2 linked regions of the Schizosaccharomyces pombe genome follow. Changing the gene in region 2 together with the main gene of any one other region gives a genetic interaction. Each region holds a gene or a part of one and is shown on either strand. Other genes may lie near its edges.

Region 1 (7,260 bases), 280 kb from region 2:
CAACTTTAGATATCGTTATTTATTCTTCGAGTGGCGCGTTATCATCTTTAGCGGAATTTCAATTCCGCGAAGGAGCACGTAATATGATTACGAATACTGGTGGAGTAAGCCAACGCCAAGCTGAGGTGATGCTCGGCGTAGCTTATTGGCCTATTTTGGAGGCTCGAAGGCACGGACTAGACAATGCTTTGTAAAGCAAATTTGTTAAATCGATAAGTATAAAGACAATTTCTTCGTTTTTAGAATATAAAAAAACATTGGTCATATCGAAAAATTGATTTGAGTTGATATCGTTAAAATTTCATGTATATTCCGCGTGGAGCTATTTACTATATAAGCGATGACACGCCGCCCTATCCTCTTCCAATTCCAAACAAAATTTTCGAAATCTCCAACTTTGAAGTGTGGTTAAAATCTTATTGATTTTCCTTCAAAACACTTAATTACTCAAAACACCCCTTCTCTTGTTGTATTTTTTTAAAGTAAATTATCGTCATACAAAATGGTTAGAGCTGTAGCAGTTCTTCGTGGTGACTCTAAGGTCAGTGGTGTCGTTACTTTTGAACAAGTCGATCAAAACTCTCAAGTTTCTGTGATTGTGGATCTCGTTGGCAATGACGCTAATGCCAAGCGTGGTTTCCATATTCACCAATTCGGTGATAATACCAACGGTTGTACCTCTGCTGGTCCTCACTTTAACCCAGAGGGTAAGACTCACGGTGACCGTACCGCCGCTGTTCGTCACGTTGGTGATCTTGGTAACTTGGAAAGCGATGCTCAGGGCAACATCAAGACTACTTTCTCTGATTCTGTTATCTCATTGTTTGGTGCCAACAGCATCATTGGCCGTACCATTGTCATTCATGCCGGTGAGGATGATCTTGGTAAGGGTACTAGTGAAGAGTCTTTGAAGACTGGTAACGCTGGTGCACGTAACGCTTGTGGTGTCATTGGTATTGCCGTCTAAATTTATTGAGTTTTTACGTCTTTTTGTTCAAATGGCTGTGGGTTTAGGTGTTGGTTAGTATTGTTATCATTTAGTTGAGTGATCTCAAATTTCTTTTTTTTTATGAAAAGTTCCGTATATTATGCTTCTATAGGTTCTGTATTAAAAAACTTAATTTAATTGATGATGATAAGTACTGTAGCTTTGTGGAAGCTGTTTGTTACTATTATGTTATATGTGTAAAAAAATGTAGTGATGTATTTTTGTCCTTAAGACTCTGCGTTCGAGTTTACATAAAATTCAGTTAATTAGAAGGAATTGTTGTAACTTTGTTTCGGTATTGATAATGAAGAAGCAAAAGCAGCAACAATTTTTGATCTTTTAGTCAGAAAACTTTGTTTTGCATCGTTGAGTTCGTGCATAAAGATGATAGAAAGTGCTTTTCGTATTGTTTAAAAAAAGATATATAGAATGTTGATTAATAGATACACACATAGTAGCAATATCAACACATCTTGTTAAAATTCTAATGGGTGAAGCCTTTTTTTTTATTAATCATAATACCATCGTTTCATCTTTGTTGATTTTGTTATTACTTTTACGTATCAATGAATTTTTACGAACTAATTTCAACTAAACAATAACGACAGGCAAGTTTGTGTAAACTGAAAACATCTGCACAAGTTGTATTTTAAAATAAATTTTATTCTATAAGTCTAAAGGTTCACATCCAGTGTGAACAATTAATAAAATAAGTGGTTAAATAATAACCAACTAATTCAAAAAGATGCAAAAAAGAAAAACTCAGCAAGAATAATTTTAATAAATTGATCTCTAAGCCGGCCTAGACGATATCCAAAAAGGGTTTCAAGTTGAGAGTAGTTCACGTTCCAGACGTGTATTATGAACAAAATGTAGTTTTTTAAATAGTTTGAAAACATACAAGCAATAAGTATAGTACATCTGAAGAAATCCAAAAAAGCACCTCGCAATACAATTCCGGACTTTGGTCATGCTTAAGCAGCAACAAGTGCACCATTGGAGCAACCGTATATAGAGGAGTCATAGCACGCATTACCACAAGCTAACAATGGAGACCCATTTATAATGGGACACAGTATATTGCCATAACAAATATAACTTTGTGAATCATACCAAGCTGATCCACATTGGGCTATCACATTAGTGGATGTAGCAGATGTAGTAGTAGGTGTAGGTGTAGTAGTTGTGGTAGGTGTAGGTGTGAAAGTTGTAGTAGCTTTTGTTGTTGTAACAGTGTTTGGAGACAAAGAACCATCAGAACAAACATATTGGGAAGGATTATAGCATGCACCATTACAACTCAAGTAATCCACTCCGTCTATTATAGGACATAACTGATCATTGTCACAATAATAAGAGGATGCGTCGTAGTAGTTAGAGCCACATAGTTGCATGCCAGTTGACTGTGCGGTAGTAGTTGTTGAAGTTGTAGTAGGTGTGGGTGTTATTGAGGAAGTAGTTGTGGGAGTAGGCGTAATGGAGGAAGTGGTCGATGAAGATTGAACAGGGCCCAAAGCTCCATTGTCGCAGCCATATTGCGAAGGGTTATAGCAAGCTCCGTTGCAGTTTTGATATGATACACCATTAACAATAGGGCAGAGTACAGTTCCGTCGCATACATACAAACTTGCATCAAACGTAGCACCATTACAAGTACCAGAGATGCTTGTAGTAGTAGGAGTCGAAGTATAGGATATAGGTAGTGTACAACTGGCAGTTGCAGTAGTAGAGGTTGTCGTAACACTTCCGGTACTCGTAGAGGTCGTGGTGGTAGAAGAAGAGCTAACAGGATAATAAACGGCATCATTAGCCCATAAGCCAGCGGCATAAGCCAAATACCAGGCACGAGAGGCCCCGTCATCTAAGTAATCGGTATTAAAATCAGAACTGGAGAAATATTCATAACTTTCTTCAGGTTCAGCAATAGCTAGATTAGCATATAAAAGACTTCTCCAACCGCTATCTACATAGTCAATGACACTAGCAAGTAAGGCATTCCATTCAGCTAGTACAAAGCTAGGACCACGGATAAAAGCTGAAATTGGAGTGATAGGCAACATATGAATTCCTTGGATGTACTCAATATTAGTACCAAAATAGGTAGTGTGAGTAATTTTGTTCATGAATGTAATACCGGCAACATAATTAGGTTGCATAGAAGTGGGCTGGACGTTTCCATCAGCATACAGCATGTACTTATTCAAAGCATTTCTTTCAATGCCCAAAATAATGTTTGCGCGATCCTCCATATCAGAATCGCCAATTACTTGACCCCAAAGTTTCATACCGAAAAAGAAGTTATAATCTTCGGACGTTGATTCTTCATCCTTGCCATCATTAGACTCAAACAAACCAGATGCCCAACCATGACCATGATAAATATCAATCATTCGGTGCTTTGGAAAGTAAGGATCATTTGATGATGGATTGGCAACATCACGAACTAGAAAGTTAACCCATTCCTTATTGTTCCCAGTGTTAATCCAGTCAGGATCAATATGACCAATTACAGCAGCAGTGAAAACAAAATAACCATAATGGAAATGGTGATCATTATAGTAGCTGTTACCAAAATCAGCCAAGGAATCACCAGATAGACCAGCTACACTGACAACTCCTTTCCAAGTGTTATCATAAGTCAGAGGGTAAATTTGCTGATTGTCAACAAAACGGGCAAAAGCAGCCTCTAGTTTTTGAATACATTGTTCGCTGCTGGTCTCATCACCAAGAATATCATTAATTGTAACACACAGCATTGCATACTTAGCCAAAACTTTGCCAGAATAGTACATTGAATTCAAATTAGAGTTGGCAGAGAAGTCTTCGCCCAATTCAGTACCAGCAACCTCAGCGATGATCTCTAATGCTTCTTCCGAATAACCAATCTGACCACCTGTCGGCGACCATGGAAGAAAACCAATGTCCTGAGGAATAGCTTCGGCGAATGTTATAGAGTTTCCAGCTGCGGCATTCATATCACCACTTACTAGAGAAGCCAAAACAATGGATGTAACTTTGGTACCACTGACAGCTGTATCCACTTGATGAGGCAATAAGAAAAATAGAGGCTCTACTGAAGTATCCCCAGCAGTCGTAAAATCAAACGAGTAATAACCAACAGCATCCTCAACATATCCGGAAATACTAATACCGGTAATATAGACACCCGCATAAGTGTCATAAAGAGCTTCAGCGGTGCCATCTCCAAGAGGAATTTTCGCGATTTGAATGTAACCATTGAAAGTGTTGCTTCCAACAAGCATTTGAGATGTGGATTCAGTCAACGTAAGGCTATCCCCATAAATGTAAATAAGCCAAACGTGGTTATCAGACATCGTGACACGATACTTTTGAACAGCAGAAGTACCCGGCACTTCGACAAAGTCATTGATATAAAGAGTGGATGAAAAAATTTGAGGAATAGCATTAGTGTAGACAGCAGTAGTAACGGCCATACCCTCAGTCAAAGTAAGTTGCATAGACGAAGAGTCCCAAGAGAAAGTAAAGCGAGCAGACATCTGATCAATCTCGTCGACAATTGGGTCAGTATTAGAGGTAATACCAGAAGCACCAAATCCGAGCGAACAAATACCGATGGGTTCATAATAATAGGAAGGGATTGTATCGTCCGTATCCATTACACGTTGATTGTCATCGGTATGAGCAATACAAATGCCACCCATCGTGTCTGAAGACTGCCACCAATATCTGAAGGGATCAGCATACATGAAATTAGTACGAGAACCAAGTAAATTATTATCAAAAAATTTGTTAGTTTCAATAGGGGAGCTCAAGCTGTCAGTACTGACGCCGGCAGGAGTAACTGGGTGCGAAACGGTGCCGAAATAACTGGCTGGGTTGATAGTATCAACAACAGAGTCGAAAACATTGGTATCACGTTTTTTTAAGCTAATATTAGAGCCTGTGGAAAATTTGGTATCCTTGGTATCCTTAAGGATTGGCGAGCATTGTGCCAAACTTATGGTCAAAAGACCAAATATAAAAGAACGTAAATAGGAACTCATAGTTCCTAACAATAAAGTAAGTGAAAAGATAGCAAACCAAAAATGACTAAAAGGAAAGACAGAGAAAATAAAAGATTTAAACTAAAATTGCTAAAGTAACAAAAAAAAATGAAACAAAGAATGAGGAAATCAAAAAGGTAATACAATAATTAAGAAGAAGCTGCTTAAGGATTTATTAGACTCCAATATCCAATGTTATTATGATAGTTAAGTGGATATGGATTAGTAAATTCTTAAGTTTTCCAGATTAGGTATCACTTGGGTTTCAAGATTTCCCGATTGTTTACAATCAATAAGGAGGTTGTGTCTTACTTAGGTTATAGTAATTAGAAAAGCGAACCTTGATACTTTATATTATTCCAAATTTGGAAACTTGGACAGCCATCATGTCCTTTTTCTTAGCATGTCCAGCCATATTTACCATAAAGAGGACAAATGTGGGTGGTCGGCGGAAATCTGGATGTCTTAACAGCCAGCCCTTTTTAAGAAAAACTGTTTATACATAAGCAAATGTAAACAACACAACTTGAAACATTACTTTGGCGTTATTTGATTGTATGATACTCTTCAAAATGACGTTAAGTAGCTAGGTAGTTAAATATTTTGGCGTCCGGTGGCTTTCGAAAAGTAGAAACGCGTGGGATAAAACAATTGGTATCTAGATAGTACTTGAAATAATATTCAGGAGTAGTAAGTATCAGTAGATTTTCCAAATACAAGCATTTCGCCAAGAGCTACTTATTAAAAACGCGCTCGCGAAAATTTAATTTCTTGACAGTGGAACATGGGAGTAAATATATTTATGTAATTTGAATTGAAAAATGCTTGGTGATTCGTGAGGGTTCAGGATACCTATTAAATAACCAAATAGTAAAAAATCACTTTTCAATAGATTGCTAAATACAGAAATTTTACAAAAATAGGTACAGGCAACATATTGTTTGGAAAGTGTCCAGTTGTTTAGTAAGGTAGCGTGTAGCAAAGCAACAACACAAAACACTCGCTTTGCTAAAGATGGGTGGTTGGAATACGGGATAGATTGTTGAAATGCGTTACAAATTTTAGCAGATTTAAACTGGGGGGTTGATGAGAAATGAAAACAAACATGCAGTAGAATTTAAATATATTTAGTATAAAAGTAGAAAATACATTGTTTATCAAGAGTTTGTTGTTATATTTACCTCAACTGTACGCGCAGCATTACCATAAGCTGTAAATATTGTTCACTCTTGTTTATTTACACGTGGTAGCCATAGTAACCAAGGGTTAGGGTATTCAGAGCATTTATATACTAAACGCTGTGGTCCTGAATTTATTGTAAACAAATCATCTAAACACTTTGAATTTCAACGTTACAAAGTTTTAGTATCTTCGGATCCTTTTTCTTTGATATATTAGGCTGGTCCTATATTGTTTGTCTTAAGGAAAAGACTGGTATCTCTTCCTTATACAGTTAATAGATTATTTCTTTGAGCAGGTTCTCCTTCACATATTATTTCATTGCATTGCATTGCTTGCTATATTAGCACTCGACTCATTCTTTTATCCAATTATTCAAAAATATTAATTAATGCGCTGTGGTGCCGGTCATCATAAAGTCATTCATTTGCTTAAAATCGATTAATTCTTGAAGACGTTCGTTTCTCCTTCTACGATTTGTTTACGAAACCTAATAGTCCTTTATTTGTTAGCGCACTTTCTTTTCTCTAAAAAAAAAAACAGCAACAACAAAGCTTAAAAAATTAATAAAGGCTTTCAAAAAAGTTGAATTCTTTTTGCTACTAACGTTACATTATTATATAGCTTACCTATTGAATTTTTAAAAAGTCTTTTCTTTCTTCGCTTTTCTTTTTCTCTTTCATCTTTTCTACAACAAAAAGAAATTGAAATCCACTTTATTTCTAATTCATTAGAAGTTTTATTCAAAGTTTTGGATACGTTTCTGTCCTTTGATATTCGCTTCTTGCATTATTTTTCTTTTACATATATATTTTGAGCGAGTTAATCAAAATGGAGATAGCAGGTAATTCTTCAACCATATCGCCTACATTTTCAACACCCACAAAGAAAAGGAACTTAGTCTTCCCTAACAGCCCTATAACTCCCCTGCATCAGCAGGCACTTTTAGGCCGTAACGGTCGTTCTTCCAAGCGTTGCTCCCCTAAATCTTCTTTTATCAGAAACTCACCAAAAATCGATGTAGTAAATACAGATTGGTCTATTCCACTATGCGGATCACCACGAAAC
Region 2 (6,734 bases):
ATTGCTTTTAAAATAATTAATATTCCCGAGGCAAACATGATACATTAAACCTCTAGTTCATAAAGAGTTGTATAAGAAATGAGTAAACAAAACAATTTAAGTCAATTTCTTCCAGGGTATAGCTCATGAACCTTAAAAAACACAAACAATCAGTAGAAATATAGCAATGATCCCTTTAATTATAACACTCAGATATGTTTAGCAAGTTATGAGCACCGATAGTCAATCAAGAAAAGGACATCTCATACTACTCGTTTTTTATACAATATAATTAAGGCAATAGTAATATTGGAACTTCCCCATTATCATCTTATTCGTAACTGTTTAAGAAATAATTCCGTTTTTTGTTAACCTTCTCATCTTTTTTTCTGTTGTAGCTTGCTGTCCTACCAAATTTCGTTACACAATACCGGACCAACGTTGGAAACTACACAACACCCCATCTCACCCATTATCAGGTTATAAATCATCAATAATTGTCTTTTAAGATGTTTATGAATTCTATGCTTCGTGTCTCCAGACAAAGAGCAGCGGTCAGGAGTACTGTTTCTCTGTACCGTGGCTTTGTTTCTGCTTCAATCCGCCGTAATGAGCAAAACGGTAAGTCCTTTGAAAGCTTAGTAAAGTTTGTCATAGCAGCTTAATGGTTAAAGCTTGTTTAGTACTGGCTATAGGAGTAAAGCTTCCGTTGACTCTTGATCTCCGATGTACAGTTTTGCTATTAATTATATATCGGAAGTTAGGCTTGTGTGCCCATTCATTCTTTTCTATATTTTACAGACCTAAAAAGTAATCAAAAGAATGAAAATCGACGTTGCCTATAGCCCACTCTCTTAAAACGCTTTCTATTTCATCTATTAAGTCGCTTAGTAGATATGACTTGTTAATTTGTGCTGCCGATACATTTTAGGGCTTTTTAGCTTAATTTTTATCTCCTTCACTAACATTCTTTTAGTTGTAAAAGCCGCCGCTCAAGAATTAGCCAACGCTAAGGAACCTTCTGATTTGATCGGACCTGGTGGTCGTGACGGCGAGGTTCCAACTGATTTGGAGCAAGCCACTGGTTTGGAACGATATGAACTTTTATCAGAGCTTTCAGGGAGAGATGCATTTGATATGAAACCGTTGGATGCTTCTCGTAAAGGCACATTGACGGATCCTATAATGGTCACTTCTCTTGATCCTTACCGTCATATTGGCTGTACTGGTAGTCCTTCTGGTTCACATAATTTAATTTGGATGACTGTCTACAAAGACAAACTCCGCCGTTGTCCTGAATGCGGATCTGTATACAAATTAAAATTCATGGGAGATCCCAACGCTGAACACAGTCATTAGTATGCTTACCAATCTTCCATATCCCCTTGCTATTTTCATACTCTTTTATAACAATTTAGCTCTTTTATTTGAACTTTGAAAAATCAATGAAAACTGTATGCTGATCTATTTCTTATTTTGGGAACGATTCGATTATTCGTAAACGTATATCTTATAAATAATTCTATCTATTCAACCATATCTTAGTTGTTAATTCAAGCACCATTCTTTTTTTCTTGTAGTCATGCGGAAATATGATCTAATTATCGTTCCGAGTTTCATAAACGATAGTTATTTATTGATATACCACATCAGTGGTAAGTCAATAAACTTGTATTTTAAATTTTCCGATATTAAACTTTTAATAAAGCAACGTATTTTCAAGCCATTCTCTAACCATTTGAGGGTCTTTAGATGGAGCCATGTGCCCAACCGAGTTGGACAATGTAAAGGCTAAGTTACGTTCATCCAAAGTAAATCCATTAGTTGTCTCTAAACTTCCAGGAGATTGAGTGAATCCCTGCCATCCATTCCATGTTGTATTTTGCAATGCCAAAAGAGTTCCGGTCCAAAGAATTTGAAGATCCAATGCCCCAGCTAAGAAAGACACTTTGTATTTTTCTGTTAAGCGTGGAATTATTTCAACGAGAACTGATTCTACGTTGTTACTCACAATCTTTTTGTATAAGTCAAAATTGCATCCGTCTGCGAAGACACCCTCGCCGCTTGTCAACGCAGTTGAAGCTTTCGTAGCATGTAAAGAAGAGCGAACATCTTCTCTGTTCAGGTATGTGATTAAGGGATCATTATACTCATTGAAACTACAATCAAGGCTAACATCATAAGTTATGACACAGCTGTTCTCTAGATAAAGTAAAAAGTTAGAAAGGGAATACAAGTCACATCCAGAAATTGAATTAAATACATTCCCAATGTCTTCACCATCGAGAGCTTCCCGCTTCCTTAGAGAAGTAGATGTGCTAAAGTTGTACTCTGGTCTCCATATTGGGTATTGTTCAGTAGGAAACGTCAATCTGTTCAAAACTGAATCATATTGACATTCTTTATTGCGCTTTTTAAACTCTTCAGATATTGTGGAAGAAGTATTATTAAAATAGTATCCAAGTTTGCTGATATGTTCCACCCAAATAGAAGCAGTAATTTGTTCTTGAGTTTCGTAGTCCGCCGTAAGTCCACTGACGATTCCCACGCCCATAAAATTTATATTCAAAGATGGTTCAGAAAGTAATGCCTCTGCAAAATTGGCGCTCCATATGCTACCGTAGCTTTCGCCGACAAGGTAGAGCTTTTTCTTCATTAAGTGGGGAAACTTTTGGTAAAATGATTTCAGGGCATTTACAAAATCTGAAGAAGCTTCTTCAATCGTAGTTGTATATGCCGCCTGTCCTTGGGAGTACCCCGTACCAAATGGCTGATCTAACCATAACATGTTGGCGAAGTTTGTCCAAGATTCAGGATTAAGGGATGGTGAGGGGCTACTTTGGGATATTTCAATGGGTCCATTTTCACTGAAAAAGCCTAATGTTCCAGCGCATCCAGGTCCTCCTTGAAGCCATACTATGAAAGTTTCCGAATCAACAACAGCAGGGGCATATGTATAAAAAAGTGATTTATCGGAATTCGCTTCCAAGTATCCAGAATATAATTCCGGTAATGATCCCTTAAATTCAGGAAGTGATTTAATTCGATCCGAAGAAGGAGCAGCGTGTTGTCTAGGTTGAACAGTCTGATTCGAGGAAGCAGAACTCGTGTTGGCTTGTTGTATACTGCATTTCCAATGTACAGTGTAAGTTGGTAAAGCGTGAATGATAGTCAATTCAATTATTATAATAGCAAAAAGAGATTTCAAAAATAAAGACAGCATTGAAAAGAGAGACAATGATTTTGAGCCTATGAGAAAAGCGTTAGCGCTAAATTAAATATAATATTTATCATATTTGGAATATATTGATGTATTCAGTTTCGAAACAATTCTTGAAAAGTGACTATAATTTTATACGCTTCAGTATTTCGAAAAATGTGAAAATGCTATGACTTACTCGAATAAAGAAACCGGATTGTTTATCTGATTCATTTTCATAAGAGTTGCATGCTATATATGATAATACATAATAATGGGGATTCACTTGAATAGATTAGCATTGTCCATTGTTTACAATCAACAACAATAGAGATGGGCAACAAAGACACCCAGCGAAGTACCATTTACTAGTAATAGGCTAATTCATTTAAGTTTTTCAACACAATAGTCCTTAATGAAAAAACCAATTGTTTCGTTTACGCGGCAAGTGAATAGGGTAGGACTAGAATAACCTATGGTCTGTTTAAATCGAAAACCAGCTTATTTCAGCAGCGATCATTTATGCATTCTTAATGCTTAACAATGCGAGGCGACTCAAAGAATGGAGAAAATTGATTGTTTTATGACCGGTGGAATCGAATAATTTGACTTTTGCTATGAAGGCTTTAGCCCTTAGAAATAAAGAAATAAAATAAAAAATAGATAGATAACAAGAAAAAATCAATGTCAAATAATTTAGTTGTATTAATGAAAAATAAGAAATAACTAAATTAAAAAAATATAAATACATTTATATATTAGTAACACTATTTCTTTTTAAAGACCTTGAAATATTATGTGAGAAACTTAAAAACTAATAAAAATAAATAAATATAAAAATATAAAGAAAAAGAAAAAAATTAAAAATTATATATACAATATACTAATAAACATAGTGATTAATTAAATGAAAAAAATAAATGTTTCTTAAAGCATGGTTAAAACACACAATGGCGGATTTCTAGCCATGTAGCTCAATTTTTCTGTTGATCCGTTCTTGAATTATAGTATAGAAATTATTGCAATTGCATGAAAAAACTTATCATGAAACTTTTTTGGTAAAAAGAGCTTCAGTTTGTTGTTTTCATGTTCGAAAGACAGTTTCTATTAATATTTATATCCGTCCTAGAATGAATAGTAACTTGGTGCACCAAAAAAAACATTGCAAACAAACACAGCTGTATTCTGTCTGCAACTTGCTTTTATGGGGAAGTTTTTTATATAAAACATTTTGTTGTTTACTTAACAATATACTTTAACCAAATATTATTCTCTAAATTGTTTAGTAGCTTGTTGCGTCATTTAGCTAGTAAACACCAAAAATCGGCTGTTGTCAAAACGGCCGCCGTTTTGCACATACAATAAAGAACCCACTACCCCATAATCTTTATAATAAACAGCTTTTAATTAATTTCTTTTTTAATATAGATTTTATTTCCTATAATTTCTCTCTTAATTTCTAGATGGAACTAAATAAGATCCTGCATAGATGACGGAATCTGAAAGGACTTCACATCTTGATATTCTCTACGAAAATCAACGTGGGTATGACAAAGCAATTTTGCAGTTTGAAACTAAACATTTATACTTAGTATTATGCTATGTGGGGTACCCTATTTCTCTGAAAAATCATTGTTGAATTTTGACCCTGCTCCTTGGGTTGATCAGCATTTTGTTGCGTCTCCTGTCTCAACGAAAACAGCAACTTGTCCTGATCCTAGTTGGGAATGGGTATGTCAATAACTTCTTCTCTGTCTTCCTCTAGGACGATAGCGATAAGACCAGCATATAGTTTGCTTGAAAACTGTTTGCTAACAATATACTGCTTTTGTTGTAACATTTTCCTCTCTGAATTTAAGAAAGCTATTTGTTTTACACCAATGAAATTAGCTGTAGTTGAACCATCCTTTGGCTCAATTATTTAAGTTTCATTTGGTTCTTTGCTTTTGGTTAGCTAAATTTGTGAATGGATGTGTTACCAAAAAAGCAGTTTAAATGTATAGGCATGGCAGCGTTGGTATATTGACATGTCCGGCGATGTCGATGAATCAGGTTGGCAGTATGGGTTTTCATTTACCATGAACAATTGGCATGGTAAACCGGTTTCTCTTCATTCGTTTGTTCGTCGCAGACGATGGATCCGGAAGCGAAAAAAGGTATAATACATCACAGGCTACTTTAATTGTGCTAGTTTGAAAATTCGTTCCGTTCATATTTTAACGTTTTCTATAGAAAGAATTGCGACGAGATGAACTTCCTCTTGTTCCAGAGTCCTTCACAATCTCCTCTTCATATCCCATACAAAGGTCAAGTACTCAAACACGAAGCAGCTTTGAAGATGATTCATCGGACTTTGATCTTTCAGAGGTTACCACCATTCCCGCCCTTTTACGCGCTCTTCAGGATAGTCGAATTGACCGTGAAAAATTGGAAGCCCTAGCAACCTTTTTGGCTTCCGCCAGTATAGATGAAAAGGTTTATGTAAAAAACTGCAAAAAGGACCTTCTCAAAAACTTTGTTTTTGAACATAGTTGCCGTAAAGCTAATGAACTCCTAAATGCGTCGCTGACTGCGGCAGAAGCATCTACCTCCCAAGTGGCTTTACGAGAATCTCCAACTCCCCAGGATTGAACAAGATAATCAGCCCACTAATTTCTGACTGTATCCATTTCAATTAGTTTATTATCGTCTTTCCTCGAATGCTTTCCTCTATAAACGAAAAGGATCTGAAAGATGTGATACGTTCTTAAAGATACACACGTGTTTTTTTAATGGTTGTTTATGCTTTATTTATAGCCAAGTTTGCAAAATTGATGTCGCTAACTTGTATCTTAACAATTCGCTCACTACTACTACAGAAAGGTATATACAATTAATGAATACTCTCGTTTTTTAAATAAGGATATATTTGTGTTCCATTCTGCAATGTTAAACAGGAAGATGTACACTTTAAGCAGAAACTTGCTCAGTAAAAATGAGATACAATGTTTTATGAGCAATAGCGCTTGTTTTATAAAAATTTTCCAAAATGCTTGTTAAAGAATCGATTTCTTCTTTTGTAGTATCAAAGACTCGATACCAGTCTTTGGGTAATTTCATACCGATAACTCTAGCTGCCATTGCGATGCAGCCGCATGCCAAACTAAACGGAGGATACAAAACGCAAAGTCGAGTTCGGCTAGCATCGTTTAAAAAATTCCATGTTATTTGTAAAAGCTTTTTGTTATCAATTAGCTGTAATGTTTGTAGATAATGAATTGCCAGCTTGTGAGGAATGACAATATGGGTATCAAAATTCAATGCTCGTAAGACCTCCAATTCCATGTTTGATAATCTATTCCTGGAACTATACATCTCCTCACTGTACAAATCGTGAGCAATGAATCCTCGTGCTTCAAAATTCGTGTCCTTGAAACGCTCTTTAAGATAGACTACAACATTACATATGTCTTGTACAGAAGCTGGAGTTTCGGTAGTTTTACTTCCAATGGACACACAAGCCATAACGATAGCATCAAGATCGGGAACTCTCGGCGGATAAAGTGTGCAGTATCTT

Evidence for each region. A genetic interaction does not mean that the proteins touch.
Region 1: mutations in sxa2 (region 2) and eng1 together harm fitness more than expected from each alone (negative genetic interaction), as found in Schizosaccharomyces pombe (one large-scale study listed by BioGRID).

The regions. Positions count from the first base shown.
Region 1 is NC_003424.3:996,706-1,003,965, reverse strand, and holds eng1 (cell septum surface endo-1,3-beta-glucanase Eng1), read right to left. Parts: upstream 5,335-7,260; 5' UTR 5,014-5,334; coding exon 1,963-5,013; 3' UTR 1,605-1,962; downstream 1-1,604. Other genes in the region: superoxide dismutase Sod1, read left to right, coding at 503-967; ubiquitin ligase Slp1, read left to right, coding at 7,024-7,260. UniProt on the Schizosaccharomyces pombe protein: Cleaves internal linkages in 1,3-beta-glucan. Has a role in cell separation where it is required for the degradation of the primary septum after completion of cytokinesis.
Region 2 is NC_003424.3:710,813-717,546, forward strand, and holds sxa2 (serine carboxypeptidase Sxa2), read right to left. Parts: upstream 3,638-6,734; 5' UTR 3,203-3,637; coding exon 1,679-3,202; 3' UTR 1,405-1,678; downstream 1-1,404. Other genes in the region: cox4 (cytochrome c oxidase subunit IV), read left to right, coding at 489-600, 956-1,338; mug65 (spore wall assembly protein), read left to right, coding at 4,668-4,723, 4,771-4,909, 5,182-5,334, 5,411-5,809; lcp1 (cyclin L family cyclin), read right to left, coding at 6,128-6,734. UniProt on the Schizosaccharomyces pombe protein: Involved in degradation or processing of the mating pheromones. Its loss causes a persistent response to the pheromones. It may be required for stabilization of enzymes that are essential for zygote formation. May degrade the mating pheromone P-factor.